Lonchura striata: one gene and its partners. The protein of the gene in region 1 binds, or shares a complex with, the protein of each later gene. Links are inferred from orthologs where the notes say so. Each region holds a gene or a part of one and is shown in the gene's direction. Other genes may lie near its edges. The genes, in order: STRN, STK26, STK24 and STRIP2.

The links.
Region 2: STRN (region 1) and STK26 share a complex: the UniProt entries of both Homo sapiens proteins name them as parts of the core of STRIPAK complex. The link is inferred for Lonchura striata from reciprocal best matches to the Homo sapiens genes STRN and STK26.
Region 3: STRN (region 1) and STK24 share a complex: the UniProt entries of both Homo sapiens proteins name them as parts of the core of STRIPAK complex. The link is inferred for Lonchura striata from reciprocal best matches to the Homo sapiens genes STRN and STK24.
Region 4: STRN (region 1) and STRIP2 share a complex: the UniProt entries of both Homo sapiens proteins name them as parts of the core of STRIPAK complex. The link is inferred for Lonchura striata from reciprocal best matches to the Homo sapiens genes STRN and STRIP2.

Annotation. Positions count from the first base shown.
Region 1 is NC_134605.1:33,757,802-33,765,304, forward strand, and holds the start of STRN (striatin), read left to right. Parts: upstream 1-4,484; 5' UTR 4,485-4,577; coding exon 4,578-4,883; intron 4,884-7,503. Other genes in the region: HEATR5B (HEAT repeat-containing protein 5B), read left to right, coding at 774-1,078. UniProt on the Homo sapiens protein: Calmodulin-binding scaffolding protein which is the center of the striatin-interacting phosphatase and kinase (STRIPAK) complexes.
Region 2 is NC_134616.1:7,630,365-7,637,580, reverse strand, and holds the start of STK26 (serine/threonine-protein kinase 26), read left to right. Parts: upstream 1-4,197; 5' UTR 4,198-4,241; intron 4,242-4,346; 5' UTR 4,347-4,426; coding exon 4,427-4,468; intron 4,469-7,216. UniProt on the Homo sapiens protein: Serine/threonine-protein kinase that acts as a mediator of cell growth. Modulates apoptosis. In association with STK24 negatively regulates Golgi reorientation in polarized cell migration upon RHO activation.
Region 3 is NC_134604.1:77,899,000-77,906,577, reverse strand, and holds the start of STK24 (serine/threonine-protein kinase 24), read left to right. Parts: upstream 1-4,571; 5' UTR 4,572-4,900; coding exon 4,901-4,942; intron 4,943-5,195; exon of another isoform or gene 5,196-5,381; coding exon of another isoform or gene 5,382-5,417; intron 5,418-7,578. UniProt on the Homo sapiens protein: Serine/threonine-protein kinase that acts on both serine and threonine residues and promotes apoptosis in response to stress stimuli and caspase activation.
Region 4 is NC_134607.1:72,230,584-72,237,749, reverse strand, and holds the start of STRIP2 (striatin-interacting protein 2), read left to right. Parts: upstream 1-4,163; coding exon 4,164-4,319; intron 4,320-5,843; coding exon 5,844-5,913; intron 5,914-6,875; coding exon 6,876-6,950; intron 6,951-7,039; coding exon 7,040-7,166. Other genes in the region: AHCYL2 (adenosylhomocysteinase 3), read left to right, coding at 818-824. UniProt on the Homo sapiens protein: Plays a role in the regulation of cell morphology and cytoskeletal organization. Required in the control of cell shape. Calmodulin-binding scaffolding protein which is the center of the striatin-interacting phosphatase and kinase (STRIPAK) complexes.

The DNA of each region.
Region 1 (7,503 bases):
AAAAATAATTAATACTCTGGTAATCTAAAACAATTTAGATAAATGAGTTACCATTAATTTTTAAATTCTTTGGACTTAAAATGTACAATTACCAGGTTACACATTTCAAAGGTATACTTAAATTCTTACTAGATACAAAAAATTGCCTTGTTGCTTAAGTTTCGCTGCCTTTTTTGTTCTCAAGGTCAACCCTCTTGATCCCTTTGCCATTTTGGGCTGTGGCCTTACTAGGTCATGCTAGCTGAAGTATAGCTGCCCTGCTGGTTTTTGAGTTAGGATCTCCCAGACCAGTCCAGCATAAATAACTGCAGATAACTGTCCCTGACTTTTTTGTGAACACTTGCATTCTGGTATCAGTTCACTTATGCTCGCTGGGGAGGTGAATACTCAAATTCAATTGAATAACATTTCTGTCTGCCTGAAAAGTGTTTTGAAATCCTTTAATATGATAGGTACTCTACATCTTAAAATCTTTCATCAGTGATCTGCAATTGGATGGTGCAAAAGCATCTCAAAATAAGCATCAGGATCAATATAATTGTAATGAACAATAATAGAAATCTTAAATCCAGTCCTGGTAAGACAGAGTAGAGTGATCAAAGCACAGGAAGCCATCTACATTTCATTTGTTTTAATTTGATAATTTTTTTGATTACAGTTTCTAATGTCAGTTCTGAAAACAATATTACCCTTCCTTATCTGTGTAATAACTAATAATTTTTTTTTTGTTTCATTCTCTGATATGGTAATTACATTTTTTCTTTCATTTTTAGGAGTACAGTTGCTTGCCCTTCTCGTTCCCACTCTGATCTCCTATTTACTGAATGAAAATGCCTTTGCTTCTGCATCTACAGCATCTAAGGATCTTCACGAGTTTGCACTTCAGAATCTAATGCACATTGGTCCACTTTATCCACATGCTTTCAAGACAGTAATGGGAGCTGCTCCTGAATTGAAAACACGTCTAGAAACTGCAGTCCGAGCAAGCCAGGCCAGCAAAGCAAAAGCAGCTGCTAGGCAACCAGCACCCACAGTACATTCCACCCCGACAATTAAACTGAAAACTAGCTTTTTTTGAATTACTTTTATTAATTTTGGACCATTAAGTAGTCAGAAGCATTGCATTATCCCTACATACATGTCTAATTTTGTGTAATTTGTATGTGAAAGACTGTCTGATGGAGCTTTGTGTAATTATTTGAAATCCATGCATTACAAGGGAAGTAGTGTTACTTGTATTTGTATAGATTTTTAGGAAATTGTGATCATATTTATGAATTTCTGTTATAAATTATTCACCAAAAATTATTATGTATCTAAATAGTTTTATTTCTTTTTAAAAGCTATCTCAAACCCTTGAGTGGTTTTTGAATTCTGGTGATTGTTATCCTGCCATTGTCCCAACACACTAGCACAGTGGGGATGGAGAGAAGAGGAAAAACTGTTATGAAGTACTTACCCTCTACCATGGGGAATTTCTAGTGTAGAAGTATGAATTTTTTCCTTTTATTAAAAAAAAATAATACTGAAGGGGACTTCGTAGATTGTTTCAGCTTGCATGAAAAAATACCCAAAATCCCACAACAAAATAATTGAAAATTTTCAGCCTTTCTTAAGGTGAATGATCAAGCATGCTGTCTTAATGAGTTGTCGTTATTTATGTGGTGTATATCTCTTTCCAATCCTTTCCCATGCTTGAAAATGAATAAAGGATGCAAAGAATCTAATCCCCTATCTCTTTGAATGTAAAGAATGCACTGGAAATTGAGTTTATAAAGAGAACTGCCTTCTATCTGCATTTGTAGGTATAGATCTTGGCCTTCATAATGTGCTCTGTGTTTGCAGTCTTCCAGTTCTGCCAGCGACTGGTTGGATATGTGATCAGTCAGTGCTCTGCCCTTTGTTCAGACTCAGGTATTTAGCCTTCCTGCTAGATCATACCCGCAGTCCTTGGTCAAGTTGGAAAGCAGAGGTACTGGAGGACATTGCACTGTACTGACTCAGGGGGCAGAATACAAGCGAGGGCCAGGCTCCTCCAGTTTTTCCTTTCCCTACCAGGCATTTTTCAAAAGCATGTGGCTCCCCTCACCTCTGAGTCTCATGTGCAGATTTTGGGGCTTAGGGCTCAAGTGTTGTGCTGACCTTGCATCACAGCCAGGGAATCCCAGTGTGTGTCTGCTGCCAGGCCTCACCCTTCCTATTGGCAGAAGTACAGAACTATGTATTTTCTTGTGTATATAGGACTGACTTACATGGATTTTTTGACACAGCTGTTAAATTTATGGGCTTTTATAGGCATCTTTCCATACATTTTGCTTTATAGAGAGAAGTAAGTAACATAACCAAGGCCTGCTGAATTTCAACTCTGATGTTTCTCTGTATACTCTGTAAAAACTGCATATTTCAGATGCTTCAACTGAAAATATAACAAAGGGATAGTAAATAGAATTGAATATGACTAATATCTGCTTAAAATATTTGTAGATCACTATTTTTGCATACATACTTGCCTCTATGCTTTCTATTTTCCTTTAAGACCTTATCTAATATCCCTTTGAGTATCTATGCAAAATGGTCAAGACAGTGCTCTTGCCCTATGGTAAATTGGCTGTGTGCAAATATTTAACATAAAATCAGAAATGCTTTTATTTCACAGTGAATGTTTTAGTACTAAAGTGAGGACACGCATACTCTAATTTCAATTTTTTTTCATTTGAAAGTATTAAGGAAACTTCCAGTTCAAAATTCAACACAAACATTTTGCAAGTAAAACAGAAAACAAGTTTATAACCTGTTTTAGATTCCCTCCCCTCCACCAGGTAGTCTAGGAATTAATGACTTCTTAGAAAGATTTTGTCTATAATCGTGTATAGTTTTGTTTACATTAAGTTTTCTCTCAGCACTTTTAAGTTTTGGTTAGCCTCTAGTTGATCAGATATCTGAAAACTCAGAAGAGGGGAGAGAAGTGTAGCAATCAAGCATAACTAAGAAGTCAGTAGAACTATAGAAAAAAGTTAGCAGAAGAGAAAATTACACTAGATAGATGTAGAGGAATAGAGAAGGGAGAGGTTTTTCTTTGAATTTTGTGTGGCACAAAAAAACATGCACAACTCTTGTTTGTATACATCCTTCCCCAGTTTAGTCCTCGTTTGCTTCTCTGCTTGCTCCTGATACTAAAGTTATAGTCATGTGGTTTTACAAAATATTTTGGCATCCAATTCCATTTGATTAAAAAAACTCAAGTAACTCGCAATGGCCGTAGTGCTTATTGTTGTTTGTCACTCTCCTTTTCATATTTTTCTTTGTCAATAGCCTTTTAAATGTGCTTTTTAATGAAACCGTTTGCTCCGCTTCCCCTTCACATCTTTCATCTCTCTGCTGTTTACCTTTTTTCTGGGTCAGCCTTGTTCTGCACGGGTTCCTTGCCGAGGTCCCCCAGATCACACTCCCTGTCCCGAGTTTTCGCTCCCGTTCCCCGCTGCTCTCCGTATGCTCTAAGTAAGCTTCCTTAGTGGTCTTTCCCAGAGAGATGTTACGCCAGCCACAGCTCAAGCTCCGCGGGTAGGATTATTTACGAAGCAGGCGGCTGTGGTTTCGGAGCAGTCACAAAGAACCGGGCACCGCTGCCCGAGAAGGCGGCGGGGCGCTCCCGGTGCGCCGGAGCACGGCCAAGGGCGCAAGCAGGGCGCGTTCCCGGCGCCCTCGGGAGCCCCACGGCACCGCCTTGGTGGCACGCAGCATGTCTTTCACGGTGCTGGCCTTCGGCACGGCCCGATGGAGAGGCGCCTGCGTCTGCCCTCAGCAAGGCTCTGCTGCTCGGGCGTACATGGCGCGGAAAGGGAGCCCAGCTTCGTCCCTTAGTGCCATGGGGAGAGGGCAGTGCGGCCGACACCTTCCGCCCTCAATCCCATACGCTCCTGTTTTCCCTGTCCTCGCAGAACAGGCAGCGTGTCCATTCCTGAAAAATGTTGTGTCGCTCTCCTTCCCAAGGTCGGAAACGATGTTCAAGAAACCCCTGTAGCCTTGGGCAGGCTTTCCAGCTTTTGACAGTAAGAGGCCGAGCGCTGCTCGGAACAGGGACGAAGCAGAAGAGACGGAGCTGCCAGGGCAGGGCCTGGCGGGAGCATCTGCGAGATGCGGGAACTGCTGCGAGACACCTGCCCTTCCCGCGTTACCGGGCTGGGCTGCGGGACAACCCAAGCGTTTCAGTCCCGCTCGGAGGTGGAGGTGCCATTAACCTGTACTCCCACCGTAGGGACTACCCCCGCCCAGCCGATCGGACCGCACGTCCCGGCGCTGAAGCTCAGCCGTCCGATCGCCATCCCTGGGATTACGGACGTCGCGGGAAGAGGGCGGCGAGCCTCCCCGCCATCCAGCGGAACTACAATTCCCAGGAAGCCGCGCGAGGCGGTGGGGCGAATCGCTCCCCGGCTCTGTCCCCGACGGGCCACCGTAGCAGCGGGCGGGGGCGGCTGTCAGGCGGTGACGGCGGGTGGGACGCGCCCAGGTTGTTGCTGCTGCTGCTGCCGGGACGCGGCGGGAGCGGCGGCGGCGAGCCAGGCGGACCCGGCCCGGCCATGGACGAGCAAGCGGGGCCCGGCGTCTTCTTCAGCAACAATAACAATAACAACGCCCTCCTGCTGCCGCCGCCGGCGGGCGGACCGGGGCTGGAGCCGGGCGAGGCGGCGGCAGCGGCGGCCGCGGCGGCGGCGGCAGGAGGAGGCGGCGGAGGAGGGGGAGTCTCAGCCTCCGGAGCCGCCGCGCCGCTCTCGGCGTCCCGGGCTCAATACAGCGTGCCGGGCATCCTGCATTTCCTGCAGCACGAGTGGGGCCGCTTCGAGGCGGAGCGCGCCGAGTGGGAGGCGGAGCGGGCGGAGCTGCAGGTAACACTTGCGACCTTCTGCTCCCCCACAGCCCGGCCCCGGCGGCCGCTCCCCCTCCGTGTCCCTCGTCTCTGCGTAGCTGGAGGGGGAGCGGCCGCCCTGGGCGCTGCCACAGCTTGTCGTCTTCCCCGAGAGGGAGCGGCCGGCCGGGCTATTTCGCTGCCCCGAGGGCGGCCGCCCCCCGCCGCGGCCGGGCGCGGGTGGGACGTGGCGGCGGCCCGGCGGGGAGCGGGCCCAGCCCGGCGGCGAGCGGCCCCTGCGGCTGTGCCCCTCTCACCTCCTCCACTGAGTTTTCCGGATGCCCCTCGGGGTCGGCCGCCCCAGCGTGTCGCCAGTTTCAGAAGCCCTGCTGAAATCTGCCCCCGGCAAGCTGCGCGCCCCCGTTGTGCCGCGGCTTCGCCGCTTGTGCCGCGGTTGCCCTCGGTGTCGCCCCACCCGCACGGGGGCCGGGCCCGTGGGACCGGCTGGGTCCCCTTCGGTACTATGGGGCACGTTTTCGTTTGAAAAGCGATGGGGCTGATATGCTCATTAATGCATGAAAGGACTGATAGTGATCTTGTGGTTGAAGTACTTGTGAACTGCTGGCCTAGAGCCGTCGCTCTCAGATACTCAGATACCAATAACAGTCGATAATGCAGCCTTCGTTCCTCTTTGGTGTTGTTTACAAGAAAATCCCTGTGTTAAACGTTAACGCTGGCCATGTTTCTAGCAACCCACTGTTAGGTTTTAGTTTGGCCATGTTTGAGACGGAAAAGTGTCTACGGGTTTCTTTTTTAGATCTCTTTTCTTTGTCTTTTTCTTCCTATCCATCTGTTCTTTCTATGGCTTTCCTTGAAAGTACAGTCTTTGTCAAGAGAGTCTTGAGTCTGTTTACTAATGCAAACCACTTCTCTATTTTTTTGGTTATTGGGTTGATTTTTCCATCTTTTAAATTTTACTTTCTACAGTAACATCAAACAACCACTCTGAGAAGAGTGGTAGGTGTGGCATTCTTTAATGAGAGTTCCCTTGTAGGAATTTAAAATAAGTGGTCATGAGAACAAGAAAGTAATTTTTATTTTAACTTCCATGATTCAGTGAGAAATTGGTTAGTAACTGAATCATATTTCTATTCACTACATCCAGTAAATACTGTGTAGAAAGTTACTAGCTTAGCTATGTATAGGAATAACCTCATGTGTCGTATATCTGGTGGAGGCCCATAAATATCTTGACATATATTCATAGCTGATTCAGATATCAAATATTGCTTTGGAGAAAAAAAATCTGTTTTACAGACCTAGGAAATTTTGTCAGTATATTAAAAGTAATAACACTCTGCATATTTATCGTGTTCTTCATCAGCATGACATCCCTCCTTCTCCCCCAGGTATCCCTCAAAATTTTGGTGTTACAGATGAGAGAGGAGGAAAGAAATTGAGTATTTAGACTATTAGCAGAAGTCATGTATTATCAGTGGCAGATAACCCCATCACAAGTTGTTTGCTTGAGTGCCTTTGACTCTTGCCAAAACATCTCAATAAAGTTATAATTAGCTGTGGCTGGCATTGCCATGAGCTGTAACAGCATTTATCTGCTGCAGAGTCATGTTCAGGAAGGTGCAAAATTCTTGGCTATCTCTACAGACATCAGGCGTTAACGTCTGCTGTGACCATTTGCAGATGAATGTACTTGGATCCATGTGAGAGGTTTGTGGTATGGGTTCAGCAACTACAGGGTGGCTTTTAGAAATTTTACACCTGAAGCATGAGCAGTGTTAATTAAAGACCTGGTCTGTGCTCCTTCTGAAGCCTTCTGTTGGCCTGTATATTTGGAAATGTTTAACAGAATAATGGAAATTTGAGGTTGGATGGTTTCTCTCTCCCAAGATAAAGAAGCAGTACTCCTCATTGTACTTTTATCCAGTGCAAATTCCAGTGCTAGATTATCCATCCACTCTTGGGAGCCTGTGGAGCAAACGACCTATTTAGTATGGTGGTCTTGGTATCCTGTAATTTTTTTCCTTCAATTCATCTGTTTCTAAGAGGTAGACTTCTTTTATCTCTGGTTCCTTACCAGCCATGATACTGAAATACTTGGGATACATTATTACTTACTACCTTATTACAGTGTTACTGTGCTTGGCTTCTGCTCTGTAGTTGCTGGTTAGTTCCACTCTAGCCTCTCTCCAAAAAACTCCTCATAAGTCAGTCCCATTGTGATTTCCATGTTTCCTTTTCTTCCTCTCTGGGCTTCTTTTTATTTTCTCTTTTCCTTATCCTTCTAATTAACTGCATGGAACTAAATGTGATGGTCAGGTAGAATACCTTCCTGTTGTGTTCTGTGGTACTTGTTCAGGAGACACACACACAAGCTCATAATATATGTGAGTTAGCAGGCCAGGCAGTTTAATCTGTTCTTAGTTATTGGTCTAGTACTGCATTTCCAAGGTTTTTTTCCCTATCAGTGCCTGTATTTTTATTCCCCTGGCAAATATTCATGCTTATTCTGATTTTCTAATTATTTTTCTTGAACCTTTTGAAATTATTGTTGCCTCTTATATAATCTTCCTTATTCAAGGCAAAAGAGGACTTCAGTATTTATATCTATGTAAGCATAATTAGTAAGCTGTGTATATCAC
Region 2 (7,216 bases), on another chromosome or scaffold:
CAAGATGTGTTCTGGGCATGGGAATGAAGGTGGTAAGCAGAAGTGAATGTACAATGGTCTGGGTTCTAGTCCAGCTTCAAGGCTCTGTAATTTTAAATTATTTATTGGATACAGAGATGTCGAAGTTGTAATAAGGGATTGACAAGGACTACGTTTGTCTCCCTTGAGTTAGTGAGTATCAGCAGCTTCTAGTGCTGGAAATTCTGAAGATCCTAAATAAGTTGCCTTGAAGACAAAGTGATTTACCTAATGCCCATGAATCAGAGACTGATTTATGTCAATGGATTGAGAAATTATGTTCTTAAAAAAACATTTTAATTCTTCCTTTGACATCACTGATGTTCTCATTAATAAAATAAATATGTGGCTCTTTTTCCCCCCTAATTCCAGTCAACTTTTAGCTTGCACAACATCTTTGGCAAGGTGTTTCAGACTCAAAAACATGAAAGGCATTTGAAGTTACTGGTTTGGGATGCTGTATGCCACTTCTATAGGAAACCCTTTAGCTGTGCTGTTTCTTTTGAGAGACAGGTGCCAGGCAGGAGAATTGTGGGTGCCTCTAAATGCATTGCATGGGATTGGCACCACAAGCCCAGGTCAGTGCAACACCAGCCAGCTGAACTTTGCAAAGGCACTGAAGGGTTTGCAACACCCATATCCATCCTGATACATAGAAACTGGGCATCATATTTTTAGACAGATGTGTGAGTTTGCATCAGCTCTGCTAGAACCAGATCAGACACCTGTTCCCTCCCTCCCCCCAGTATACCACTGTAAGGAGTCCTTGGAGTTTGTAAAATACAGTATTTTTATGTTTGACACTCTATTTTTGTTTTATTCATTTATGTTTGAAAGTTTAAGAGACATTTCTACCACTTTTTGTGGTAGGTCTAAAGCAACTAACATGGTGCAGGCACTCTCCAAAAGCTGCATGGTTTTGATAGCTCCCTGAAGTCTTCTGATGTAAAAATAATTATATTTTCACACCAGCAAACAAAAATAGTAGTTAAAAAACATGAAACAGTTGAAGGTCTGACTTGGGTCACATTACTACTGTGAGGCCCTGGGAGCTGTCCTAAGTGAATTATAGACACATTTTAAGTCTTGGAAAACAGCAGCACCAAGTATTTAAAGGGCAGGCTGGTAGGGAGAAGGAAAGGTCTTTCATAGAGCAATATCAGCAACTGACCACCTGTCTTTCTTAATGCACAAACTAGAATTTGCTAATTACAGAGGGGAATACAATATTACAGCCCTTTTCTTAGATGTTATGGTGCCAGTCTACCTCACTTCACAGCCTGGCTCAATGATTCAGTCATTGCATGACCAGCTGATTACCTAAGATTCCCTGACAGGTTTTCCTTCCTGGCTCAGCTCACCATGTCATTCCTGGGCTTTCCGACCTGACTTTTCACAGGATGTTTTTCTTTGTGTTTTTGTCACTGCAGTTCCTTAGTCAACCTGCCATGCACAGAAGACAGCTATAGATGTACTTTCTGGGGAGAATACCTTATCACATGATTCACAGTTGTCCTGCAAGACCAGAACTAGAACTCTCTTAAATAAATCTACTACAGTCCCTTTCATGTTATATTAATCTGCATGCAAGTCAGAAATACATAAAAGGCCAAAAGTCACAGTATGTGGCCCCAAAATAGGAAGAATGGATTGGCAATTAGTAGTCTCTGGTACAAAGTAAACAGGGAGAAAATATGTATAGCATCAAGACAAGGCTGAGATAAACAATTAGCAGGAATCTGGAGAGAAAAATCAAGGTAATATATGGATAGAAAGAGAAAAGCAAAGCCTCAGAACCAGAAGAGGAGCAGCAGGTCTGCAATGCAGTAGCAGCATGAAATAAAAATCATCCTATTTCATTTGTCAGGATTTTTTCAGGGCTTATATTCTAAAGATTATTAAAAGCTAGCAGGAGAAGTGATTTAAGTATATTTGAGCAGAATGAATCAGGCCAGGATTCAAAAGTACCATGAGTGAATATTCATTCATTTATTTGCTGAACCACTGTACATAATTAAAGATTTTTGTCAGTAGAAATCCCCATTTCTTTCCAGAAGTTTATTAATGGAAAACATTTTTGAATTTAATTATATGGTATCAACTTTCAGAAAATACTTACCTTAAACATTCCGCACATTAAAATGGACTCCAGGTAGGCTCATAAGTAACTTAGATGTATAACTAAAACACAGAAGCCTTTTTAAGTCATGCTATTTTTTAAAAAGGTGCAGAAGAAAGTAAACACTTTAGTAACAGTAAAGGCTTAACAAACTGGCAAGTTGAAAAAAAAGTATTCCACCACGATCCACAAGCCCGTCTTTGACAAACATTACTGTTTGTTTTTTGGTTCAAACCACAGTGAGTTAAGGATGGAAAGACTGCCTAACTTTGAAATTCTTGTCTTCAGCTTGTTTTCACACAACCTTACCTTAAACAGAGGTGTTTTGTGTTCCTTGCCCAGTGCAACATTCCTCTAAGTCCTAAGAGAGGGAGACTGCCTGCTGTCACATCCTTTCTGAAGGGACCCACCCTCTCAGCAGGATAGCTGTGGTATGGCCAGCAACCCAACACCTCCAGATTACCTTACTTTTTCTTGGCTTTTAGATCTAGAAACCTGTGAATTTGAGGGAAGCCTTCGCATACCCATGAGGATATTTGTGATGGATCCATGATTTCTGTACTCTTGGTCAATGGGCTTCTGGGGAAGACTAGTGCCATAAAAGATGTCAGTTTGAGATTTGCTTTAGTAACCGGCAAAATTTACATGTATAGGAACATGAATCACACACACTAATGTGTGACTCATGCATGAATGGGGAAAAAAGTCACTTCAAAAATACTGTTATTTTCCCCTCTCTAGGCCCTGGTAGAATGTTGGGGCAGCCCAACTCACCAGGAAAGCAGGTGGTGGTGGTGAAGGACACAGGTATGTGTTGGGACAGCCCTGCAGCAGCTGGTGCAGAGTGGGGAGAGCTGCCCAAGGAGGGGGGAACACCCCCAGGGGAGCCAAGAAAGAGCCAACCACCCTGAACTGGGAGCTGAACCTCCAAAGACCAACTGGACCTGCCCTCACCACCTCTGCCACAGCTGGCTGTCAGGAGCACCCCTGAGACAAGAAGACATCACCACTTTTGTCACAAAAGCAAGTAAACCCCATCAAATATTCCCTCAGTTATTTGTACCCGGTTACTACCCTGTGTCTCCGGGGTGCAGGAGCCAGCGGCACAGGGGTGTTGGGGACAGTGGGGCCAAGGAGCAGCGCTGTGACTGTGCAGGAGGGACCCCATGACAGCACCCAAGGGGTCAGCATTGCTGCTGGAGAGGCTGCACCTTAGTGCTGCGTCCAGTTCTGCGTTCAGGAGGGACACTGAGGTGCTGGACTGGGTCCAGAGAAGGGCAGTAGAAATGGGTGAAGCACCTGGAGCACGGGTGTGATGAGAGCTCTCGAGGGAGCTGGGGGTGTTTGGCCTGGAGGAAAGGACGCTCAGGGAGGACCTTGCTGCTCGGTGCAGCTCCTGACAGGAGGCTGGAGCCAGGTGGGGGTCGGGCTCTTCCCCGGGGAACCAGCCACAGGACAAGGGGATGAGATCTTCACTGTGCCAGGGGAGGCCTAGGTTGGACATCAGAAAGAATTTATTCACAGAAAGGGTGATTAGGCTTTGGAACGGGCTGCCCGTGGAGGCGGTGGAGTCACCGTTCCTGGAGGTGTTTAAGCAAAGACTGAGCGTGGCACTCGGTGCCCTTGTCTGGTTGGCAAAGTGGTGTTTGCCATCGGTTGGACTCGATGACCTCAGAAATCTTTTCCAAGCTATACGCTGGTCACTCTGTGACAGCCGGGCGGCCGCGACCCGGGCCGTGCTGAGGCCGAGGGGAGCCGCGGCCCCTCCCTCGGCCGTGCCCCGGCCCCGGCCCCGGCCCGCCCGGGGAGGCGGGCGCCGTGACGCCAGGGCCGTGCGGCGGCTCCGCCCCGCGAGGCCGGAGCCGAGACGGAAGCAGCCGCCGCACAGCAGCCGCCGCCTGCAGCCGGAGCCCGACATGGCGCTCTGAGCCAGCCCCGGCCGCGCCGAGAGCCGCCACCCCGGGGGGCCCCGAGCAGCCGCCCCCGCGCCGGGACCGGGGAGCGGGGCATGGGCAGGGCCGCTGCGGGGAGCCCGGCGGGCAGGGGACAGCGGCGCTAGCGACCCCCGCCCGCCCTTCGCGCAGCGCAGCCCCGCGGCCGCGAGGTGAGGAGCCGGCGGCGGGCGGGGGCCGGCGGGCAGGGCGGGGAGGGAAGGAGGGAGCGCGGCCCGCGCTGAAGCCGCCGCCTCCCCGCCGCTTTGTCCTTCCAGGCCCCGCCGCCGCCGCCCAGGAGAAGGAGGCCGAGATCGGGGAGCAGCGGGCGGCGCCCGCCCGGCCGCCGCAGCCCGCCATGGCCCACTCGCCCGTGGCGGTGCAAGTGCCCGGCATGCAGGTGAGCTCCGCACCGGGCCCAAAATGGAGGCGGCGGGCCCGGCCCGGCTCCGGAAGCGGCGCTTGCGGCCCGCACCGGGCGGAGCCGCCGCCGGGGCGCGGGGGGCCGCGGGTGGGCGAAGCGCCGCGGGGAGGCCGCGTTCGGGCCGGGGCAGGCCGGGCCGCCGCCTCGCCGGGGCAGCGAGCGAGGCAGGGAGGGAAGCAGGGGCTGCTCCGAGGCAACGGGAGGCTTCGGGGGCCGCGTACCTGCACCCCGGCGGAGGAGAAGGGATCCCCCTCCCTCCATGCCTCCCTTTGTTCAGGGGTGGCCGCGCCGCATCCAGGAGCACGTAAGAGCCTCTAAAACTGATTAAAGGCGAAGTGAAGTTAATCGCAGGGTGTGTGGGTGCGCTGTAAATGACATAGCAGGCGCGCTGGCAGGCGGACCTGCAGCAGGACTTCCCCACCATCCTGGCGCTGGGCCTGTAGAGCAGCTTCCCGGAGGACCTTGGGATTCACGGAGAGGTGGTATCCGCCAGGTCTGGTGGGGACAGAGCACCGGCGAACGCAGTCTGTCAGAAACCTGCACCTCTCCTCGCCTGGGAATCAGGCCTGGTGTCACTTTTCTATGTTTGTGTTACCTGCTTAGGAAACAAACAAGTTGGTGTGTTACTGACTTTCATAGGAAAGGTGGAATACCTCTGACTCTTCATTCTTACTCCACTGGACAATCTGATACAAATTTAGCCAGATATCTTTATCAATGTAAAGATTAGCTAATTTCAGTGCTGATTTTTTTTCTTGTCAGGTACTGGCAGCCCAGTCAGTGTTTTTGAGCATTCTCTTAACTTCTAGGATAGTCATACCTGTATAACATCGGAGGTTTTTTTCAGTTCAAATACAGAAACATTTATGATACATTTCTGTGTACGTGAGAGATACAGTAAAGAGTTCAGGAGGCTTCAGAACAGAAATATATCTTTTGGTCAGGTAACTTTATGACTTCTACAAAGTGTAGAATTGATATATAAACAGTATTTACATATTTATAAGTATAAGCCTGTTACAATGCTATGGTTTAGTTTACCTTTCTATTTTCTAATAATTTCTAGGCTTTCTGAAATCTGTTAAATTGTGGTAATTCACTGACTTTCTGTTTCTATAAGAGATCACAAGCCACATCTGCTCAGCCTAGTTGTTCCATTGTGTCAGAATAACTGTTGCATTAGAACATCTTAAAGAAATTTTGTTATAAAAGATTTAAAGGCTTTAGTCTGAGCTTCTTTAATTACAGCCTCTGGGCTTTCTAGTGTGTTTGTATTTGGGAAACTTCTGTTTCAACATTCTAGTTTGTCAATTTCCTATTTTTATATCTGCTTAATGTATTGCTGTTCTATTTTCTGTAACTGCCAACACAAAAGGACCTTGAAATTATTTAAGGTTCTGTTTTTTTCATTGTTACACCAATAAACTTTATCCTAGTAGCATCCTTATCCCCACTAGTATTGTTAGTAGTTTAACTCACAGCCCTTAACATATATGAGTATGTTAAAAACATTTTTTAAACTATTAGATAAATCCAGATGCATAGAATTAAAACACACTTTTTCCCTTGGTGGCCATCTTTTTATGAACGTGATTACACAAGTCCTGAAACCCTCAGAATACAAAAAAATAGAATTTGGTGTGATATTAATCTGCTCATCCTTCTAGAAGAGTCCTAATACAGAGGGTTTTCATTTTTAAAAAACCCTAACCCAAACACAAAAACTTCATGACAGTCTGAGATGGAGGAGTTTCCTTTGGGGTTTTTTAACCTATCTGGACTATTCAGGCAGGATCATCTAAGTAATGGTAAAAGCGTGCCTGCTTCTGCTCAGTGTTAAAGTAGGTGGGTGGTGATTGATTAAAGAAGGAATAAACAGGTTCCTCTGTGATGCAAGATGTAATGGTTATGTTAAAACTACCACTGTGGAATAGTCACAGTGATATTGTCAGAGAATGTCACAAGTTTGAAGTTTTCAGCTTTACTGTCATCTTATGCTTTCCCTTACATTTGATTATACAAAAAAAAAATCAAGAAAAACACAAAAACAAACATGTTATGTAATTTCCATACTCCAAAACCAGACCTTAAGACATTTTATTACCAAAGTATATCAGATGCTTTTTTGACTCTTTTAAGATTTTTCACCTTATGAAGAGTCGGGTCCCCTTTAAAAAAACTCAAACATGGAAAATTACAGAAAATCACAGAGAGTTATTTTGGTGGACTTGCAGTTTGACTTTAGTCCCCTGACAGCAATTGCAGACCCAAAGGTGGTATTATCTGTTGCCCTTATGAGTAGTTACAGAGCCATTTGTTTATGTAGTGGTTGCATTCTGTTTAACCTGTCTTGTGTCCCTAACAAAACCAAATTTTATACCTAACAATTCTTGCTTCTGCAGACAACTTCCTAAACACATTCATTTTCCTTGCTCCTTTGGAAAGGCTCCCCTTGGTGCAATTGTACAGAGTTAACTTAGCCAGCTGCCTAACTTCTAAGCCCATTCAGTAAAATCCAGGTACTCAGTGTATGTATAACATGAGTGGTCTGAAGCTGAACATGATACCACAAATTATGGCATTTTATGCAGAATCCAAGATGAGATGGAAAATGGAAAGGATAATGAGCACAGTTAAGGTGTCCTGGTTACAGGAAGCACAGTTTGCAGTGAGCTTGATTGTCAGGTTTGAGGTTTTATTCAGTAATGTCACAGTAACTTTGTT
Region 3 (7,578 bases), on another chromosome or scaffold:
TCACCACCTCTCTGGGCAACCTGTTCCAGTGTTTCATCACCCTCCTTGTAAAAAACTTCTTCCTTCTATCTAATCTAAATTGACTCTATTTTAGTTTAAAACCATTAAAGGTCATGCTTAATGGATCCATTTAGTGCAGAGAGTTTGCTAGTCTGCTGTCTACACAGACATTAACCTGAGATAAGAACTGATGTCTCCATTATAAAATGTGAAATGTGAGAAGAAGATATAGAAGGTATGTTTTCTTCCATTTGCATATGTTTGGTTTGTGTGACAAGGGGCTAAGAAAAAGGCTTATAAAAAGCAAGATATAATGCAATGATGCTCTTCAGGGGCAGAGGCATAGGACAGTAAAATCAATCTCATGTTTCTTAATGAGCTCTAGGTCTCCATCTAATTTTAATTGTCTGCCTGGAATAAGAAAATACTTTCAGGCACTTATATTCTGCTCATTATTAATAAACAGCATATAATACTCAAGATGTTTCTTCCATTTCCTGCCCCATTCTGGCTTATCCACTATGATCCTCAGTACTATAAGAAAGTGAATTTTCTTCTATTACAAATCTCAAAAACCTGCCGTTTTCTATGCATGATAAGAATAACATCACTGCAGGAAGGGAAATATATACAAAATGGCACGTTTTATACAAGCATAGGAAAAAAAAAAGGCTTTTTCTTTGGGGAATGTAATTTAATAACCAAATTTTTTCACCTTCAGCATTCACAAGACTTAGAGTAGAATGCCATTGTGGATTTCCAGCTCTACTTCTGTAATTGACAAAACCTTTTTCTGACAAGTGGCTTGTTGAACCAGAACATAAATGCACAGCCAAATCTATCTGTAGAAGGCAAGCTGTGTGCTTTTGAAACTACACAAGCTTCCTCTGCTGGAAGAAATACACAGCTGCATGGCATCTTGAGAGGAAGAAAGGCTACATCACAAACTTTGTAGAAGGGACACCCTTTCACATGGAAACTGAAAACTGAAATTTTAAAATTTTGGTGGAAACAGAGAAAACACCAATGATTTGTAGGTGTATCATTGCTGCATAGTTTGGAAGTACACTAGAAACTAATCTTGTGGTGCATATACTGCCAAAGGCAGGGAAAATATCAGTCCTGGGCAACACAGGGATATTTTTTGTTATTTATAGAAAATGTGCTTTTTATCACTAAAGATATATATTTTTTAAATAAAATTGCATCCTACCCTTGTCTGGTTCCTTGGCTCTTTCCTGGGAGAGTAGTTGCTGTTTGAGCAGAAAGGAAAGCTTAAAGTTGCTGTTTGATCTCCCAGAAAGGAAAGCTTAAAGGACTTGGTATTGATCTGAAAAGAGAAGCCATAGTCAAGATGACTCAGTGTGCAGAAATGAACATTACTTATACCTTTGGAGTTTAATTCACTGATTTAGATATTGCATATTTATAAAGTTTTCCCAGAAAGCTGCTTTTCTGTAGGGTGACATTGAGGATATTTACAGCACTCATATTCTGACATTCTTCTACTCTGCTGAACCCCCATCTGCTGGCATGTCACTCAGCAGTCACGCACTCTGAGATTGGGCTTTGTTTTAGTTTCCCCCTCATGATGATTGGCAATATGAAACTGTCAATTTTCTTTAGTCTCTTTCCTAGCTCAGTCATGGATATGCTGAGCAAGATGGGTCCCATCTTGGTCCTGCGACAGCCTACTGGTAACACCCCCCACTGTGAAAGGTTTTTGTCTTTTTCTTTCCTCTCCAACCTCAGTTAGAGACCCATGTGAGGACTTTCCCTCTTGCCCCAAGAACACTTAAATTCTTAAAGGTCCATTTGTGAAGATCCTTGTTAAAGCTGCTGTGAATTGTGTGATACAGGCAAGAGTCACACTTATTATTATAAATCAAAAAAGAGCTGGGTACCTGGTGTACCTTTCATCTTAGAAAACACCAATGACCTTACATTGTTCATTTGAGAAGTTTCAGTGTTTGTCAGTAAGGAAAACATTTTTTCTTCACACATATTTATAAGCAGAATTTCACAGTCACAGTCTTTACAATTATGTAATATTTTTCTTTTGTAACTCTTATCTTACTGTTAGAGATGGAAATGTTACAATTTATGGCTTAAACATAACCAGCAAGGCAGAAAATCTCTGCATATGCAAAGTATTATGCTAAATTGAAAGCAAACCAGTTATTGAGAAGTTGATATGTAAAATAAATTGAATTTTTGAATGCTTGGAACGTCTGGCTTCAAAAAGATACATCAGAGATCTGTCTTAATGATAAGAAGTGTTTATTTCCGAAGTCTCAGTCATTGTATTGGGATGGTTGGCTAGCATAACATATAATCATTCTATTTAACAAATAATTCTTCAAGACTAGCCTTTCTTTGGACTATAATACACTTTTTTTTTTCTCAGAAAAGATTAAAAAACCCACAAAAGGTTGAGAAAACAAGAGGAAAATTTGAAAGGCTTCTGTTATTAAGTCTGTGAGATGGAGCTGAAATTTAGACAGAAAGACTAGCATTTACAAAATGAACAGCAAACACACACATTCATTATTTTAAAATTACATTCAAAACAATTATTTAAAAGTTTCTACAAGTTCTGGGAGAAATTGGAAGTGTATCATAACATGAGTTACAGTATAAAATTTAGAAGCTGACAAGATATTAGACCTTCTAATGCATTGTTCTGACTTCATTAGAACTTGGACTAGTATCTGGTTTGTGACTGAAGAGTTTTGAATCTGCTCCTTTGTTTTCCTGCATTTGGCAAGTAAATCTGCCCACAGAGTTTATTCCAAAGCCCAAACAATATTTTTTTCAGGCACAGAATCTTGTTGAACATATCATGCATAACTTCAAAACCTTGAGATTAAATAAATCCACGATGGTACACAAACAACAGGAAGACCTCACAGTGGCCCCAGGCCAGGAGCTTACACGGTGGAAGTCACTTCAGAGCAGCGTGGGAAATTTTCGGTCCTTATGCGCCTTGAGCTAGAGAATCTACCAAGTCAAGTATTTTCCTTGGGAAAATTAATTATGTCCCAAAGAATATACTCATGGACAGAAAATAACAGTTGTATACCTTTCATAATACAAAAGAGAAATTTTTATTTTGATTCCACACTGAATGTGCAACTGCAGAAAAAGTAAAGCAACTAATAAAATCCATAATGGCCATATAGGAAAAAAACCCAACAAAATAAAACTGCATAAACAATAGTAAAACTGACATTTTCTCAATTAGGATTTTTAATATTACGTGATGTAGCAGAATTTCAATGATATTCATGAGACAAAGGAAAAGGTTCACTTGTAGCCTACTGACTTTTTCCCTAGCAAGTTAGAAAAACTTACTGCAAACAGTGGAGCAATTAAACATTTTTTTTTTTTTAAGAACATTGCAAAAATGCTTTAGAAAACAATCAAAATAGAGAGTTTTGATACTGATTCTCATAACTGTTATTTGATTTTTGATTGAAATAGAACACAAATGAAAACACTTTACATTTCTTTGAAAATTACATACCAAGCCAAACCCCACAGAATCTCCATTCTATCCCAGCATTAAAGAAAATTTCAACTCCTTCATGAACAACTGAAAAAATAATTTCAATATTTCAATTTTCAGTTTCTAGCCATCATCCCTTTTTGTTTCACTGTACTCAAGGGCTGATATATTTAGTTTACCAGTTTACTTAGTTTATTTTCTCAGGTAAAACACCAATGTGCTTGTGTGTGGGTACACTTATCTACCTGCATAAGGCTGTTGGCTAATTTTATTTGAATAATACTTTGACATAGACATCTTAGGAATATTTATGTATCTCCAAGTTTTAGGAAAACCAGATTGGGCATTAACTCAGCCACATAAGAAAACAAAGATTATCCAAACTATAGGAAAAACTTGAGTGGAAGTTCCAACCAAATTTTCAATAAGACCATTTTCTATTTTCAAATGTTTCCTGCAGTTAAGAGATTTGTACAGACTCTAGTGAATTATCAAGTGAAAAGCAACTTATGCTGCAGTGGATGCTGACATCATTTAACAAAATCACTTGGAAAGACAGCGAGCCTCGTTATCCCATGGATGCCAGACCTACCGGCTGACAGGTTTCAAAAACTTTTAACACTCATGAAGCTCCCTACGTTTTTTTGCCGGGGCGGAAAAATGAGAGAATTTTAGGACATTCCATGGCACACGGGAAGCTGTGCGACTGCGCTGTTAAATTCCAGTTGTAACAAAGAATAGAACATTGTCGAGTTCTCGAGGGATTTGCATGTACGCAGAACTCCTGTGTGGGAGAGACCTCAGTGCTGACCCACTGTGCTCCCGCTTGGGAACTACAGGAGAAGCACGACTGGCATTTTGGGTTGCGGCTTCTGACAGGAAGCCAAGCGCTTCCTTCTGCGGAGCACCGGGGTTGCGGTGCGTTCCCCGGCCGTGGCACCGGCACCGGCACCGGGACCGGGACCGCGACCGAGCCCGGCCCCGGCCGCGGGGCCCCGGCCGCGCCCATGGCGGCCCGCGGGCAGGTACCGCGCACGGCAGGCGGGGCCGCCGCTGCCGCTCCGCCCCCTCCTCCTCCTTCGCCTCCTCCTCCCGCCTCAGGTTTGTCATCGTGTCGCCGGCACGGCCCGGAGGAGGAGGAGGAAGAAGAGGAGGAGGGATGAGGAAGCCGCTGCCGCCTTTGCATCCGTGACGGGGCCTGGAGAGCCCGGGCTTGGGACGGCCCCTTTCCCACCGCCGGCGCACAGGCGCTGCTCGCCCGGGGGAAGGGCCAGGAGGAGGAGGAGGAGGGCGGCGGTGCTGTGTGAGAGGGAGCGTGGAGATGAGCTCAGCTCTGTGCCCTGGAGCCGCCTGAGGAGACTCGGCTGCCTCCCGGCCTCCCTCGCCGCCGCCATGGCTCACTCCCCCGTGCAGGCGGGGCTGCCGGGGATGCAGGTGAGCAGCTGCCCCAAGGGCGGGCACGGACGCGCACCTCGGGCCGGGCTGGGTGCAAAGAGGGGCATTCCCGGCGCTGGGGGGACAGGAGAAAGCGGCTCTTGACCCTGGCCCGGCCGGGCTGGGGGCGGACGAGCGGGATGGAGACGAACCGTGCTGTCAGCGCTTGGCGTGGCGCCCAGCGAGGTCCCTCCGCCCGGTGGATCCCTGCCTGCCTCTCTCCCTCCATCCGCCCTCGGCAGCCGCTCTGTCCCCGCAGCGGGCGGAGCGCGGCGTGCCGTGTGGCCCCCTCCCCGGCCGGCAGTTCTCCGTGTTTTAATCCCTGAAGCCAGCCACGGCTCAGTGGGCGATTTTCGGCCCCGTTAGTTTGGGGTGCGTGGGGGAAGCATGCATAAGCCAGTCGGTACAAGCAGGGCCTGGCAATGTTGACCTTCAGCGCATGCTGCAGTGCCCGTGTCTGTGGTGCTGCTCTGAGGTGGGTGCTCGGGGATCGGGTTTGGCTCCTGTGTTTGATTCCGAGAGTTCGTCAGCTGCTGTTGTTACACGGTGGAATTTGCTCGTTCTGTGTCTTAACTATGTATTTGAAATAACTAGTGTGGTTTTGTGCTGACTGAGCTGGCTTAGTCTGAGCTCGATTTTCTTGATTTAAATGGCAACTGCTGCCAGGAAAACATTAAGGTCAGTGGTATCTGTGTGTTGCTATACTAATATTCCCCACATCCGATTAGAAACTTTCTTGCCCTTATCTTCAAAGGGACAACTTATGAATGACATGTAAGAGTTTCTCTTAAATTTGTCTCCTGGATTAAAAGTGTTTGTGCATCACTTGGTTAAATATGGATTTACCATAGTTTGTTTTATTGTGAGTCAGGATTCTAAGTCATTAATTTCTTTTCTTTCCAAAATCTGAAGATTTGAATTGAAAATATTACATGCTTAGGCATAGCATGAATTATGTGCTCATACATAGTAGTGGATGCCCTGTAGCCTACGTAGGCCCACCCTCTGAGCTAAGTAATCTATTGCTGTGTAGGTCCTGCTGTTGAGAGTTCCAGTTCACCTTTCAAATATGAGCAGTTTGCCGATTGCCAGAGACAAAGAAATGGTTTCTTGATTGACTATGGATATTGTTTGGGCTTTTTAAAAATTCCCTTGAGACATATTAGACTAAAACAACTGCCTGCTTTGAGACAGAACCTATAACACTTTAGCATTTAAAAATCAGATTTGTAGCTGCTTGTAAGTGAGAGAACGAAGATTATTCCATCAGTATGCATGTACTGATGATGTATGCCACTGCATGATCTGAGGACTTGTGCTTTTTATTGGCTTGGTTTATTATTTGGTTTGTAGTACTGTTAGCTCTCCTGAATGTGTGGCTCTTCAGGGTTCTTGTTAGTCCACATAATTTGGGACTTTGCTTCAAATAATTTTATTCAAAATGGTGTTCTTTTTCTCATGATTTTTATTCTGTTACTGTTTGAGTTGCTCAAGTGTAAACTTTCATAGTCTAAAGAAAACCCCCAGAACACCAAACCAGAGATCTGCCGATAGGTAGAGGCATAAATTCTGTGAGCAATGTGAATGCTGCTCACTAATTTTCTGTGCCCAGTTCAAGATGTCTGTATCCATTTCCATTCTGTCAGAATATATAGCAGTTTTATAGTGGTCTGTTCTCAGTACACAATTCTCTTTGATTTCACTTCCAAATAAATGTTCAAAGAGTAAAGTACATACCATGTGTGACAGCTGCTTAGATGAGAAAAAGATTTGGGACTTTTTTGTTGTGTAGAAGAGAGGAATATAGCTTAGTTCTCTGGGTTATAATTAAATTGCCTAAATCACGGGACCATCTCTTCTTTTTCTGTAGTGTGATCCCTCCTCCCCACCTACCAGCTTCTGCCACAAACGGTGGAAGCAGTGTCAGTGACAAGTTATGCAGCTTTCTCTGACATTCTTTGCTGTACTCACACAAGAGAGCAGCCATTGTGCTTGTGTGAGCAGGGTAACTTCTTAACCCCAAAAAATCACTTGGAGGGACATCACTTTTATTAACGCTGTTTGGCCTGAGCATGGTAGTGTCAGTAGAGTAGAGGAATGAATGATTAATATATTTCCACCTAAGCAAGATGTCTGATCCATGTTTGAAGAGTGATGCATAAAAAGTGAGTGGGTAGAAAGTGAGCCAAAGGAATGAGAAACTGTGGAGGAAATGTAGGATGGTGTTGGAAGGTTGTCAAAACCTGAGATTTGCTGTCTGCTGCACAATGGGCATGCTGTAACCTGAATTGAAATAGAGTTGGGTTTTGACCTAAATTTCTGTCTGTGCAGTTTAAGTTCAGACTTGAAGTTTCTGTTGTTGTTGTTTTAAGGGCTCTGTGTAGATACGAGTTTGAGTGTGCAGGGTGAAGATCCATCATGACTAAACTGAGGATGTGCTGTCTTGCTTCTTCATGCCTCATGAAGTGGCCTGAGGAGAGTGTGTGTTTGCCTGTAAACGTGTGAGATTCCTGCAAGACTGGCTCAGAGTAAGTGTATACGACCTTGATTTTCAGACTGGCTTGCATTTCAAGGCTGTGGCAAGCTTATGGAGCTTCTTTAAGGAAGCTGTATTTTAAATCAAGTACTTTGTTTAT
Region 4 (7,166 bases), on another chromosome or scaffold:
GCTCAGACAGCAGGAAGGGGGTGGCGCAGCCGGAGCGGTGACAGGAGCCCTTTGTGCGTGGCAGCAGCTGTCACCCAGACGTGGCAGATGCCAGCGCGATGCCACCGGCTCGGTGGCAGCTTTATTTTTAAAGTTTGACGGAGGATGAGGTGGCACAGAGCGGCCTCGGCCCCGGGGCTGCTCCCACGGGCTCAGCTCCACGGCTCCTTCCTGAGCACAGGCTGGGCAGATCCCCAAAATAATCATAATTTTCAGTAGGAGCCCCTGGATCGCTTCCCTTTCCACATTTTTTAGCCAGCGCTGCCTTGAATTTCCACTGTGAAAATGAAATGGCTTTGCACAAATGTGGATCTGCTTGGGAGGGTGAAGCCCAGATCCTTTTCCTGCTGGAAAAGGGATTTTCTTGGCAGGCAGAGAGCACCGGAACACTCCCAGTTTGGGGATTACTGGGTTTTCCCAGATCCTGAGCTTTTTTTTTCCATTGCAAAATCCTGGTGCTTCCCCGTGGCTGTGCAGGGATTCCCTCTGGTTCGGTTCTCTGTGCCCGGTTTTGGTGCCTGGCACTGCCCAGCCTTGCTGGGAGCGAGGTTTGTCCTGGAGAGGTTGGGATCCGAGGGTCTCGGGAATTCCTGCGCTGAGGGGGAGCCACAACCCCTCCAACTTCCATGGGCACCTCGGGGGCGGCGAGGACCGAGTCCCTTCCTCAGCCATTTCTGTCCTTGGCGTCTCCCCCTGCCAAAATCCACCGTGGCGATGCCGGGGCAGCTCCTCATCCCTTCCCCACTTGGCAAAGCCCCGTTTTTCCTTCTTTCCCCAGATACTGAGTTCCTGCCGCCGCATCCCGGAGAACCGCCAGGAGCTGCGACAAGCACCCGAGTCTTTCTCAACTACTGTACAGGATGAAACCGCGCAAGCTTCCCACGCTAGAGCCGGGCTTGCTGCCATAGTCGACAGTGTGTTTTAGGTTATTTATTTATTAAATTAGGATACTGTTCACGTGGCCTCTGCCACTGGTGTTCGTCCTGCCGCGGGACTGGGAGACGCTGGATTTTCTTTCCGTTCCTTTCATTTTCCTCTTTGGGTTCGTTCTTTTTTCGGGGCTGGGAGGAGGGGGAAGGCGAGGAGGAAGCTGCTGGAATCGAGCCGTGGAATAGTCCCTTATCCCTGCTCACCCCCGCGCACGGCGGGACCCGGCCTGGCAGCCAGGGAATCCCCGGCCGTTCGACAACAGAGCCAAACTCCTCGTGGGCTCCGGAGCTGCCTCGGGAGCAGAGAAGCCTCTCCGCCTCTCCGTGTGCTCTGGAAGTGCCCGGAGCCGTGCCCGGCCGGGGAACCTCGCCTTAGCACTGCCCGGAGCCGTGCCCAAGGGTCAGCGCCGGCCCGGGGAGATCCCCGAGCGCTCCCCTGGCCGCAGCCCCGCGGCGTTTTCCTGCTGCTGTCGTTCCGAGTGCCAACCTCTCTGGATCAACCAAAGTCGTGTTCCCGGCGGGGCCGGGGCAGCCCCGCGCTGCTGGAAGGGGCTCCTCGCCCACCGATGCTGCTCACGCGCCGGCGGCTCCGCCACGCCGAGCAGAGCTCGCCCGGCCGCCCGGCTGGGAGGACCCACGTCCTTCTCCAGCTGAATTTCGGAGTTTTGTTTTCTGCTCACATTTGTACGAATCTGGAATTCCCCTTTGGAATGTATGAGACGCCCGCCGGAGCGACCCCCGCGGATTCCGTGCGAGGGGAGAGTTCAGCATTGCTGAAACCCTTTGGTCACCTCAGCATCGCTGAAACCCTTTGGTCACCTCGACGTGTCAGAGCCGATGGAGACTAAATTTGCCAGAGTTCCCTGTTTTATCCCAGGATGTCCCAGCTGAGCACAGGACAGCGTGACCCGTAGCAAGGTGACTCCCCAAGTGCCGGTGTCCGCGCGGAGTCACTCCTGTCCCTCGTGGAGAACGTGATCCTGCTGAAATAAAACTGCCCAGCCCCCTGAGCACAGAAGCCTCTGTCCTCCCTCTTGGCTCCGGAGTCTCTCCTCGGCTGCAGATCCGTGTTTTGTCCTCCTGGGCTTCTTTGCTATCATGGAGAACTTTTTTGTGGCAGCTCGTTCACGCACAAGGAAGGGAAAACGGAGGAATTGCATCCTCACGTCCTTCCCACGGCTCTTAGGAGATTTGGAGTCAGGTTGGCCACAAGTCGCTCCTCTCCAGAGCAAACGCTCCCATGTGCCGGCTTATTCCAAGCTTCTCTTTGAAATCTCTCAAAATCAGGAAGGAAAACCTTGAGAAGAGCTTGAGGAAACCTTGAAGAGGGCCTTGGGAAGGCGTCAGGGCTTTGCCAAGGCCTTGTGGAGACCTTCAGGCTTCGAGAAGCTTCCGGGAGACTGATTGCTAACCACAGACTCGCTCTCTGCTCGTTCATTTTTCCCCGATCCCGAGATGTTCTGGGAAGAATCCCCTGAGCTCTTTGAAACATCACACCCAAGGCTTTCTCCCCAAGCTGGATCCTGGTCTGTCAGCCCCTGCTGTTTTCTGGGAGCTGCTCCTGGCCCAGGGGAGATGCAGCTGTGGGAAGAACGGGAATCCCATCCCAACCCAAGCACAGCCACTTCCCCCTGGAAAAGCCCCTTTCATCCTGACCCCTCTCATCCCCAGAGCTGCCTCCCGCCCTGTGCCTGCTCTGCACAGCCCCAGATCCCTCCGTGCCCTGTTCTAACCTCCTTTTATCTTCCAGGTAGATAGGAAGGAAAAAAATATATATATATTAATACTAAAATCCCAACTGGCTTTTCCCACCTCGATTTTTAAAGCTCTTCTCCATGTTCTGCTTCTCCTGTAAAAGCTTATTGGCTCGCTTGGCTTTTTTCCTAATCAACCTGGAATCATATCCTATGATCATCTCTAAATTAAACGTGTAATGGGGTTTGGTTTCTTTTTTTTTTAAATGTAACACATTTTTCAAGACTTAGGAAAAAAGGAGATTTTAGGTAACACCAGCAAAATCGCATAAAGGAAATTAATTCTGTTCTGAACTTTAGAGATAATAAGACAAAAGTCGTCCTCAGCAGTGAGGAAACGAAAACGTCGCAACCATAACATTTCAGAAGGATGTTTTAAATATTAATGTCTGAGTGATTGTATTAGATCAGCAATAAAGACTCTGTAATCTCAAAACACAAATAAAACATTGGAAAACTCAGCCTCTCCTGAGCGTCCTTGGGGTCAGGCGGGGGCAGACCGGGATTTTGGGGCGGAGGGGGACAAGGAGGATCAGGAATGCTGGTGGGATGGGAGGGGTTGTCCCCAGAGCCTTGAGCTCCTGCTGTTTCCAGATGATTCCAGCTGGGGAAGCGGCTCCGGGGCCGCGTCCTTGGGGCAGCCGGAGCTGTCTGAGCTCCTGGGCTGCTGTGTCCTTGGGAAGCGGTGGGGAGGATCCCGGTGCCGTTATCTCCTCTGGAACAATCCCGTTATCTGCTCTGCTCCCGCCCTGCCTCGCTGCAGCCACGGGAAATTCCGACCCGACCCTTGGCGTTTCCAGCTCTCCAGAGGCTCTGAAGGGATGTGGGACATGAGGGGCACCGAGATCGGCCACTCGGTACCTCCCCGGCCACAAACCTGCACAGTCACCCCAAAACCAGCCGGCCCCATTACTGGCTGTGGGAATGGAAATCCTGCTCCAGGGCCCCGGGAGCTGCCTGGCACCGAAACGGGGACGGCGGGGCTCGGACGCCTTGGGGTGCCTTGGGTGCAGCCCCACAGGTGCCCCCCGGCCCATCCATGGCCACCCCCTCGTTACCCCACGGGCACCTCTGACACCCCGGCTCCCGCCCTGCTGCCCCCTGCGCTCCAGGGACACCCCACAACGCCCCCATGGCAGCATTCTGGACTCCAAGGACACCCTACAAATCCTCCTTCCATCCTCCCAGCAGTGCAGGGACACCCTACGAATCCCTTCCCCAGCATCCCCCGTTCCCGACCCCTCCAGCCCAGCCCCGGTCCCGGGATCTCCCCGGGATCATCCCGGCCCCTCCGCCGCTACCCCGGGCCCCGCCCCGTCCCGCTCCGGACCAATGGCGAGGCGGGGGAGCGCCCTGAGGCCACGCCCCCGCTCCCGGCGGACCAATAGGCGTGGCGGGGCGTGGCCCGGCCCGGCCCCCACGTGCTGGCGGCGGCCGCGGGATGGAGGCGGCGGGAGGCGGCGGAGCCCCGGGCCCGGCCCGGGCCCGCCCGGGACAGCCCCAGCCCCAGCCCCAGCCCCAGCCACAACCACAGCCACAACCCCAGCCACAGCCCAAGGGCCGGGAGCTCTTCAGGAGCCAGCGCAAGGAGTCCGAGGTAAGAGCGCGGAGCTCGCTGCCGGCACCCCCCGGGCTCCGCCGGGACCTGCTGTGCCGTAAGGGATTCCCTGCTCCGGGGCTGGGGTTCCTGCGGAAGGAGCCTCATCCAGGAGTGGGGGTGCTCCCGGTCTTGGGGGTGCTCCCCGGCCCCAACTGGACGCTTTAGGGGTCCTGCGGGGGTGGCTTTAGCGTCCTGCGGTGCCCAGCCCGCAGCGGGAGTCCCCAGGGGCGCTCCGCGGCACTGCCACCTCCCCGCTCCACGCCCAGACGCAGCTGCAGAGTTTTGGGGTGCTGGCTCAGCCCCAGCACCGGCACCTCCCAGCCCCACGCCCAGAGGCGGCAGAAAGGTTTTGGGGACCCACCTGGGCACTGGGCTCCCCCACACTCTGCAGGTTCCCCTTTGCCCCTCACCGAGGTGCGGGTGCCGCTGTCCCCTCCTGCCCCAATAACTCCGGGGCGCGGGGGAACCACCAAACCCCGCTGGGCTGCTCTGCCCCAGCTGCGCCCGAGCGGCTTCGTGAGTGCCAGGCTGGGGAAGCAGGACCGGGATCGCCTCACCGGGATCCCACTGGGATCTGATGTCCCCGGCCACCGTAAAGCCACCTCTGGAGCCCCCTAACCCCAAAAGGGTCCCTGGGAACGGTGTCCAAGTCGTGCTCTCAACTCGTGAATTTGGGGTTTGCTTTGCTCCCCCGGCTCGGTCTCTCAACGCGGATTAGGGCTGCACGCGCTTCGCCGAATTCCTCGCCAGCTTTAACCGCCCGAGCCTCCCCGCCGGCTGGGCTGCAGAAATTGGGTGAGAAAACAGCGTTTCTGAGCAAGAAGTGCTCATCCCGGAGCCGCGCATCCTCCTAGTCTTCAATATTAATCGCCACGATGCGCATCAGTTGCAGCCCGGCTGCCGAGGAGAGCTGCTGAGACTCGGAATGGGGAATTATGTTAATTTTCGTTGATTACCCATTCATGTGTTCCCTTACCCGGGGCAGGGCGGCGCGGTGCCGGCCTTGGGTCGTCTGGCTGCGGCTGCCTGCTCGCTGCCCCGCCGGAATCCTCCGGCCAAGTTTCATGCTCCAGTTCCTCATCCGCAGGGGAGGAGGGGGAGATCAGGAAGGCAAAGCCCGGCCCCGAGAGCTGTCAGATCTGCGGCGCTGAGGACGGAGCTCAGGGATCCGCAGCATCCTCCCGCGGGCTTTTGCTTTGAACCGGCCCCGGGGTTTGTTTTTAGGGCGTGCAGGGTTCTGAGACGCATCAGATATTCAGCGGCGTTTTTGTGTGGTGCCTCTGCTTTCCGTGCGATTTGAGAAATGCTGTTTTTACACACGGCTTCCACATTTCCGCCGTGTTTTAAGCGGCCGCGCACGGACTCCCCGCTCCAGCCCGGGAGATCCATCACTGCGAGCCGCTGCTCCGGCGGCTGGAGCGGCTTTGGCGCAAAGGCTGCGAGCGCTGGCAGCCATCCCGCATCCCAAAATATCCCCAGCGACGTGCCAGCCCCCTCCTAACCCCATCCCGCTCTCCGCAGGGCTCCGTGGATTGTCCCAACCTGGAATTTGAGTACGGGGACGCCGACAGCCACGGCGCTGAGCTGGCAGGTGAGGCAGGTTTTGGGGTGCTGCGTTGTGATTTCCAGGCGCCCGGCGGGCAGGGAAAATGAAAATCCCGCCGGGATGGGGGATGGATGTTGAGCGGTGCCGTCCCTGCGGTAACGGAGCAAGTGGGGTTTATTATGAGAGAGCCGCTCGCTCCCTGGGGACGCGGAAGGGACGCGGGGGTTATCCCCATCACCCCGGGCACAGCGCCGGGGCTGGCAGGAGGGCGGAGTGTCCGGGGACAGCGGGAGGTGTCACCCTTCATCGGGCGGCTCTGTCCTTGTCCCCTGTGCTCCTGCTGTGTGGCGGCTCCAGCTGCTTCTGCTCCGTAGCCCCCGGTCCCGAGCGCGTTCCGGAGAAAATGGGGTTATATTTAGCTCCGTGTATCTCCGCCGCATGAGCTGGCCTGGCAAAAACACATTTCCTCTGCAAGGGATCCTTCCTCCTTCCCTGCAGGATCGCTTCAGCCCTCCGTGGTGCTGCTCAGCACCTCAGGAGTGTAGGGATTCTCTGGGAACGGGTAGGAATCCTATAGGAACAAGTAGGAATTCTATGGGAACAGGCAGGAATTTCAAAGAGCAGGTGCAACATCGTGTCCCTCCAAGTCCAGCCCTTATTTGCAAGACCCAAAATGTCTGAGCTGCTGGGTGGGGGATCAGTGCAGGTCCTGCCTGGGTGTTCCTGCATTCCCTTCATTCCCAAACTCTTAAGTGAGACTTAAAAACCCCAATGAAATTGCAAATGCAGCTGGAGCGGGAGCTGGGAACAGCCCCGCCAGGACACGGGGACGAGTTTGGTGGCTTTGGGTGGCCACAAGGTGCCCTTGGAGCTGCAGGAGAGCTCAGAGACCAGTTGTGATCTCTGTCCCGTGTCCGCCGGGGTGCACAGGAATTTGGCAAGGAATTTGGGAATGAGGAGGAGGGTGAATCCCCTCCATGTCCCTGCTGATCCCCTGTCTCCACCAGAGCTGTACAGCTACACCGAGGAGCCTGAGCTGAGCCACAACAGGAGATGCTTCGAGGAGGATTTTCACACTCAAGGTACCAGCTCTGGGCTCAGCACCCCTTGCCTGGGGCAAGAACGGGACCCCCAGGGCAGCCCCCGGCTGGAGGCCGTGTCCCTTTTCCAGTGCCGGACAGGAGGTGGCTGGAGCTGGACAGGGCTCAGCAGAAGGCCTACGTCATGCGCCTGCTGGATGGGCTGGAGGTGGTCAACAGGGACAAGAGGCTCAGAGTGGCACGGGCCATCCTGTACCT